Xenopus tropicalis: one gene and its partner. The protein of the gene in region 2 purifies or fractionates together with the protein of the main gene of each other region. This does not show direct contact. Links are inferred from orthologs where the notes say so. Each region holds a gene or a part of one and is shown on either strand. Other genes may lie near its edges.

What was found.
Region 1: the proteins of golph3 (region 2) and fam20b purify together in Homo sapiens (affinity purification with mass spectrometry; 3 studies listed by BioGRID and IntAct, with this or other methods). This does not show direct contact. The link is inferred for Xenopus tropicalis from reciprocal best matches to the Homo sapiens genes GOLPH3 and FAM20B.

Annotation. Positions count from the first base shown.
Region 1 is NC_030680.2:99,822,413-99,826,241, reverse strand, and holds part of fam20b (glycosaminoglycan xylosylkinase), read right to left. Parts: intron 2,663-3,829; 5' UTR 2,572-2,662; coding exon 2,195-2,571; intron 657-2,194; coding exon 570-656; intron 1-569. UniProt on the Homo sapiens protein: Responsible for the 2-O-phosphorylation of xylose in the glycosaminoglycan-protein linkage region of proteoglycans thereby regulating the amount of mature GAG chains.
Region 2 is NC_030677.2:200,758,673-200,762,501, reverse strand, and holds part of golph3 (Golgi phosphoprotein 3), read right to left. Parts: intron 2,215-3,829; coding exon 2,100-2,214; intron 1-2,099. UniProt on the Homo sapiens protein: Phosphatidylinositol-4-phosphate-binding protein that links Golgi membranes to the cytoskeleton and may participate in the tensile force required for vesicle budding from the Golgi.

The DNA of each region.
Region 1 (3,829 bases), on a different chromosome or scaffold from region 2:
AAAACACTGGGGCTCACCCCAAAGACTGAACGGGAGTGTATTTGTGCCTCAAACTGCTCTGCAATAAAAGGCATCACTTTAAACAGCCACAGGGTCCCTGATTGCAGCTCTTTGGAGAACAAATACAGATTGCCAATTTTTAAACAAGGGATTGCCATATCCTAAACTACAAGAGACAGTGCAGTTTGGCCACCTTAGCAAATGCCTTAGCAAACTAATACTAAGGAAGAAAAAGTTCTAGAGGGCACAGCGAATCTTTGATAGACAAAAGTTTCTCCTCAGGGGTCTGTAAATATGCTGATTGTATGCAGGTACGAGGCAGCTTGACATTTCTATTTGGCCGAAGGCAACTTTTTGTACCTGACAATATAGTCCTTCTAGCCAACAAAAGAACACTTCCTGTTTTGTTTAAATGAAGTCCATTTCCCATGGAAGTATACCAGTTGCTGTTGCTACCATATAAATGACAGGTATCCAGCCTCACAGATGCTTGGAAAGCAGATTGGGAACTCAGTAACTATGATACCTGTTTGAACCTGATCACTGGTTGAAGTACTGCGCATACCCACCTGTCTAAATGAAAAGCAGTGACTTCAGCATTATGCCTGTCATACCCAGCGTACGGTTCTCCTTCCACAATATAATCACGGCTGTATCTGAAACATTCAAACAAAATATTACATGAATTTTTCCATGATTACAAGCACAGAAACTACAGATAGGAATGACAGAAATGAAGTTATAAAGAAGCCATGCTAAATGGAATTCAGATATACATAATCAGCTCTTGTTTCAACATGTGCATGGCCAACTCAGCTCTTTGCTCATTTTTAGCCCTGTAGCTATTATATAACTAAATGCAACTATTTGGTAGCCATATTTTACTCAGAAGCTATGACGGGAGCCTTTAGGAGAATGTAATTGTGATGTTGGGAACTTTTACCATTACAAACACAGCATTCAGTTTTGGATTAACCTAAATGTTATAAAATGACAGCACAAATTTGAGTGGTTGCTATGGGAAACACTGTCAGTGAGGGGTGTAAGGTTGCTAAATGAACAATATTAGGTTTGGGAAATGTTGCAGGTACTGGCAGCTTACTTCAGGTCAGATATCAGACCTGTCAGAAGAGAAATAGGATTTAGCTGAAGGAGAAGGTAATATAATCGGGGGTAGGCAAGTTATTAGGGCCCACCACTGTTCTTCTTGTCACTTATTACCCTGGGCCGAAGCTCTTCCAGGTTAAGGTTTTCAGAGCGTCACATTGTCATCTATTTATTCAGCCCTCAGGATGTCCCCTACCCCAGTTATAAAATGGTGCATGTGTAGTACAGAAATAAAGTGTTCTGTGCTAACCATGTGCTTGGACAAGCCCAATAGAGGGCACTTGGAAGATGGTGTGGCACTCATATAGCAGTACCCGAGGCTGGTACCACAGCAAAGGGTGGGAGGGCAGAGGCCAGAGGATGTTAATGCAGAACTCATTATGTCTCTTATGGCTAACAGCTGATTATAGGGATGGAGTATATATATATATATATATGTAAAAACATAAGAATTACCCACTAGTGCTTTAATTAATACAATATGCAGAAAACATTTCAGCATAATTTCTACTGATTTTATAGAAAATATCTAAGTAGTTGCTTTTTATTTGTATTTACTATTGTTTCAAGCACAAACATTTGTCATGTTAATAACTAACCAGAATATGGGAATGTGTTCAATTTGTTACAGTGTAGTGAGCAACAATATGATGTAAATTAGAGAGCTCACACTCATCAGAGGGATACTAATAGAAGGAGTTTATTTACACTTGGATGGGGTTGTGAATGTAAGCAGCCTACAGTGTTTGTGGTTACTTATAGTAATGATTCTTATGGAACACTCCAGTTTGAATAGCTCTGGGTTAAAAATCAGTAACTGGTGCTACATACAGGGTTCCCATGCAGTGCAATTCATTTGTTTCAGTTTTAAAGTGTACAATATTTGTTGTACAGTGTGTGCCATGGCACCACAACAAATAGCAGTGTATTTATCACACATCAGTACCCAGCAATGGTGTCTGGGGTTATGCTTGTGCCATAGGTAAATGGAAAATATTATGCCTTTCCACAAAAGCAGCAAGAGATCAGTGAAGCATGCACACAACAGCACACATAAAGGAAAGTGAGCAATGATTTAGACTCCTACCTTTTGGGCTTAAATACCACCTTTTGTCCACCTTCCAGGACAAGCAAAGCTTTAAGCTGTGTGCCTTTGTAGCCAACATCAGCTTTCACAATTTTCTTGGTTGCCATAGAATGCAATACTGCTCCCATTTCTGGGCTATCCTCAGGATACACTTCCCGTGGCACGACCCATTGGGATGCAATCTCCCAAGGGGACTGCAGGGTATGCTCCAAACGGGAGTCCATGGTGAGCCGTAAGCCGGACATCATACGCTCAAAAGACAGCTGGTCCTGCCTCTGAGCAGCAGAGGTCTCCAGGCGGTCCAATAAAAGAAGCTTGGTGAGAACCAAAATCACCAGCAGCAGAGCCAAGACAGCGACCCGCTGCTTTAGCTTCATGATGCCCAAGATAAAAAGCTCTTAGCAAAGAAGGGTGATGTCCTATGTGTGCCAGGTGCAGGGCATTGCGCTGTTTGATTCCTGCAGGAACCTGTGGAAACGTAAGTGGTAAATTAATCATGCTACAAAAGAAGAGTACAGTTAAGTATATTTCTCATATCTATTGTCAAGGAAAAACTGTTGGATAGGCCAGTTTGATTGTAGCTACATTTTATTCGTACGTACGAAGGCAGTATCCAGACATTCTTAAATGAGAATTGTCTATGAGCTGATACTACATTGAATAACCCAAAGCATGTTTGTCTTATAGTCCTGAAACAGTCTTATCAGTAGTTAGCTTTGTTATCTCTAAGAACAGAACAGGCAAAGAGGCCCAGTTGACCAACACCCAACATGCCTCTTTTCACAAGTTTGCGGACTCATCCAAAATGTTTTTACAACAGCAAACAGAAACATTCTTACACAATGTATTTCACAACCCCTCTAATATTAAATGATATGAACAAGATGGAGAAAAGAAACAAGATGGTTTCTTTTTTCTCTAACACTATACTATGTACTTTCTTCACTATCAAAAGGAAAACCTACCTTAGATTAACTGTGTACAGGGCCCTCTCCCTATTGTCTCCTAACAATATGTAATTGTAACTGGAATTTCATTCTGGTTAAATGTTTGTCTATATATGTAGCTGTTATGTCTTTTGTATTTGTATCCATTTATCCTGTAAAGGCCTGCAGGGGAGGAAGCAGTTATATAATAACGATAAAATATCTTATTTAAAACACTGAAGATTAAGATAAATTAAAGTGAAAAGGGAGAATAAAATTGGCACCAAACACAAAAAGCAGATGCCAAAAGGTAATGTAAATCTAAGACCATTGTTGTGGCAGAACCTTATACTGGTTGTGTTTTCATGCTGAAAAAGGTAAAAAAAATCATCCTATAACCACAGAAAGACTGAATGATTTCATTGTTCTGTATACCCTGTAATCAGTAGGTGCTTTCCTAGGGTACCATACACTTATACCCTGGCACTGATGGGGTTAAACATACACCTTGTTCTCCATTTTAAAATCAGTCCTTTGACACTGATGGTTTTTGCACATTGCCGCCCACCCGACAAGTTCATAATAAGAGACTACAGATATAAAAAAAACACTGGTGTTTCAGCCATTTAGCTGAGGTTACATAGACTACATAGGATAGCGAATAGAGTTTTACCCAAAACCTTACCCTGAGCTTCAAGCTGGATATTAG
Region 2 (3,829 bases):
GCACCTAGATGGGAAGAGAGTGAGTGACAGAAGCCCCATAGTAGGTTTCTGTGGGAAAAGTTCCATGCAAACAGTTACTGCTTATCCATTAACATTCCCCAGTACAATAAACCAGAGAAATTAATAACTGATCTGTATTTCACACAATCAGGGTGCCAAAGCAGCTCCTTCTCTGGGTTATCTATTGTATTGCATTAAATTCCCTTCTGTCATTATCAAGTGTCCTTTTTTTTATTCCAGAATGAAGAAAATTCTGAAAATGGGATTTTGCCCTAGGTGCTACCATTACGGCTGCGAAACACCACCCCAAGACCTCTAGGATGTGTTGTATTGATGACATTTTTATTTGAAGAAGGGAAAAGAATTTGGCAGAATCCTTGGCACTTTGTTCTGCAAGAAATATTTGTTGTTGCTTTGTTAAAATTCCCCAAAAACATTATTCTTTGTGATGGAACAAACACTGATTATTATCCAGCCTTAGTTCTCTTATCATTTTTATTTTAATACAGGACTTATTACAGGATGGAGAATTAGATTTATTAGGTAGCTCAAAAAAAAGCTTTAGCTCCTAGTTGTTGCTCTGTGCTGCAACCAAATACAATTTTAGAAATCCAAAAAATAGGAAAAAAGCTTTAACAGGTTTGCTGCAAAACATTTATTATGGGTAGTGGTAACCATTCCCATAATAAATGTTTTGCAGCAAACCTGCTGAAGCTTTTTTCCTATTTTTTGGATCATTACAATTTATTATTAGGTAGTTGTCTAGATAAATTAGCTCACTGGCAATACACAGAACATTTATAAACTCCAGAAGGGCCCATCATTGCTGCTTTAGAGTGCCAAGCTGGCCATAAATAAAAAAAGATCCTAGGACCAAACTATCAGATCACTATAATGGGAATACAGGCCATTGGGGCAAGGATCATCATCAGCCAGCCAATGCTCCAACAAGATTTTTAAGCCTGTCGATATCTGGGCGATTCTCGGGCAGATATCGGTAGGGTAGGCCTGTTGGATAGCCCCTTACACAGGTAGATACGCTGCCGACTCAGACTGAAGGAGCTGAATCTGCCTACGTATGGCCACCTTTATTTGAGTATGTGCATAAGGAAATACTGCCATACCAGAGGAAGGTTGAGTGTGTCATAGGGAGAAGCTGCCTGACCAAATTTAAGGGAAATACTATCCACACAGGGAATTCACAAGACCAGGTGTAAACAGATACACAGCTCAGGGGAATAAAATATTCAGTATTAACTGCACAGCACTGCTGTATCCGAGACCAGTAAAGCAGCCTTATTTACTGTACTATTTACACATGGCAGGGCTGCCCAACCAGATGCAGCCCCAAGAGGATTTTTATGGCCTCTGGGTTTCTCAGCAGCCCAATGTTATTCTTTGTACAACATAACTTGGGTGGTTCACCTTTAAAGTGATACTAAAAAACTACTTTTCAAAATATTAATGTACATTAAAAGTTCCCTATAGGCCATGTTGGCCATTTCTCTCATAGAGGAACATGGGGGATCATATAGGTTACATAAAAGCATCAGGTAATATTTTTATGGAAAAAGCTTGTGCCAAGACAATGAATGTTATAATACATATAAAAAAAACAAATTAATTTCAGGTGTCAGTATATCTCTAAGTTACATTTTAGTTGAAGAATGCCCTATTCCTATTATTTATTTTTTGAATTATTTGCCTCTCTCTTCTGCCTCTTTCCAGCTTTCAAATGGGGGTCACTAACCCCAGCAGCAAGAAAACCTTTGCTCGGTGAGGCTACAAACATATTGTTATTGTTACTTTTTTAAACCGTATGTTTCTGTTCATGCCCCCTCCTATTCATATTCCAGTCTCTCATTCTAACCACTGCCTAGTTGCTAAGGTAAACAAAACCCTAGCAACCAGATAGCTGCTGAAATCCCAAACGGGAGAGACGCTAAACAAAAAGCTAAATAACTGATAAAACACAAAAAAAACAAAAAACAATTACAAACTGTCTCACAATATTAATGTCTACATGTCTTTAATTTTGTGATAGCAATCATATACAGCAATTGTAGCAGAATTGGATTTGACATAATTGTAACACATACCGCTGAGAAGTTCAATCCAGCTTTGTACAGTTTCTGGAGTTGGACTTTCCTTTATGTGTTTTAAGGCTTCATCAAGCATAACATCTCCTGTTGGAGCATCGGATTTGAAGGTAACCTGCAGAAAAAGTATACACAGAAGCAGGGATCTTAAATGGGGCATTACTGAATTAGAGAGAGTCTAAACAAGGGCAACTAAGCTGGTAAAGGGTATGGAAGTCTAAATTACAAAAAAAACAAAGTTGGGGCTGTTTATGCTGGAAAAAGGGCGCTTAATGGGGGATATGATGTATAAATATATAAGGGAGACCATATAATAATCTCTAATACTTTATTTACCAATAGGTCCCTTCCAGAGCATACATATATTAAAATAAAGGAGGTTCCATGGAAGGGTAACCAACCTCACCATCTGCAATGTACACTGCATTTTTTCTTGTATATTTCATACTAGCAGTTTTCACACTACATACTTTATGGAGAGTTTAACGTTCCATATCAGACAATACACAAGAATGAATTGTTGCGTTAGCTGTCTGTATATACCATCACTGCATACACAGCTAAGGTAGAAATGTCATTATAAGAATATAATCTTTAAAACAGAGGGGAAGAAAAATACAGCAGAGTTGGGGGAACATGGGGCAAAGGTGGGTTGTTCTATTGTGTGGCACCTAGAGGTCAGGTATATAGCTCAGCTATAAACAACACAACAAGGCCAAGAGTTCCGTTAGAGCTCAACTGTAAACAGGAAAGACAATAAGGGCAGTTCTGAAGAATGAAACTGTGTCAATATAACACAAAGAACATGAAGGTTATACAGCAAATAAAAGGGTTGGCAACGAACAACCAACACTCTCAAACCCTGTCTATCTCAGGCTCTTTCTAAAGACTGTAATGTTATTGTTACTTTGTATAACTCAACTTTCTATTTAGACCCTTCTCTATTCATATTCCTGTCTCTTTTTCAAACCACTGCCTGGTCGCTAGGTTAGGGCCCTAGCAACCAGATAGATGCTGAAAATTCATACTGGAGAGCTTCTGAACAAAAAGCTAAAAAATTGCAAAAAAATAAAACAAGAAAATAAAGACCAACTGCAAACTGTCTTAAAAGATTACTTGTTAAGTAAAGGTCAAGTAAAAGTTAACTCAAAAATGAACAGCCCTTTAGGTACTGTAGAGTTTTCCCTCTCAGACCCTATGCCATTTAAAACGGTTTTATCTTTCCAGAAAGAAAACTGTAACAGAATTTATCTTTTATAACCACACTTACTCAGATTCTTTAGCAACCCTCTCAAAGGCTACAGATTGCATCCAGTCAGGTTTAACCATTCAAATAGTGTGGATCGTAAAATCTAAGGCTAATGCCAGACAGGTCTGATTCCCAGTCTGCAGATAAACGCAGGCAGGGAATGAGGCCCTAAGCTGGCATCAGACTTTCCCTCTGCCAGCAACCAGAGTCATTACGCTGGACTTGGTGCAGACACACAGAGTGGATTTTGGCACTGAAACGCAAGAGTATCCAACTTGCCATGGAAATCTGCTCTATTTGCCTGCACCCAGGCTGATGCAATGGCTCTACATACAGGCACAGGCTGATGCCAGCACAAGGTTCACAGGTCAAGAAAAGACAAGCAAACAGCAGAAAGGCAAAGTGCAATATTATGATTTCTTGGCACCATGCCCGCTGATTTTAAAGAGCGGAACTGACCCATGGAACAAGAGTTAGTAAG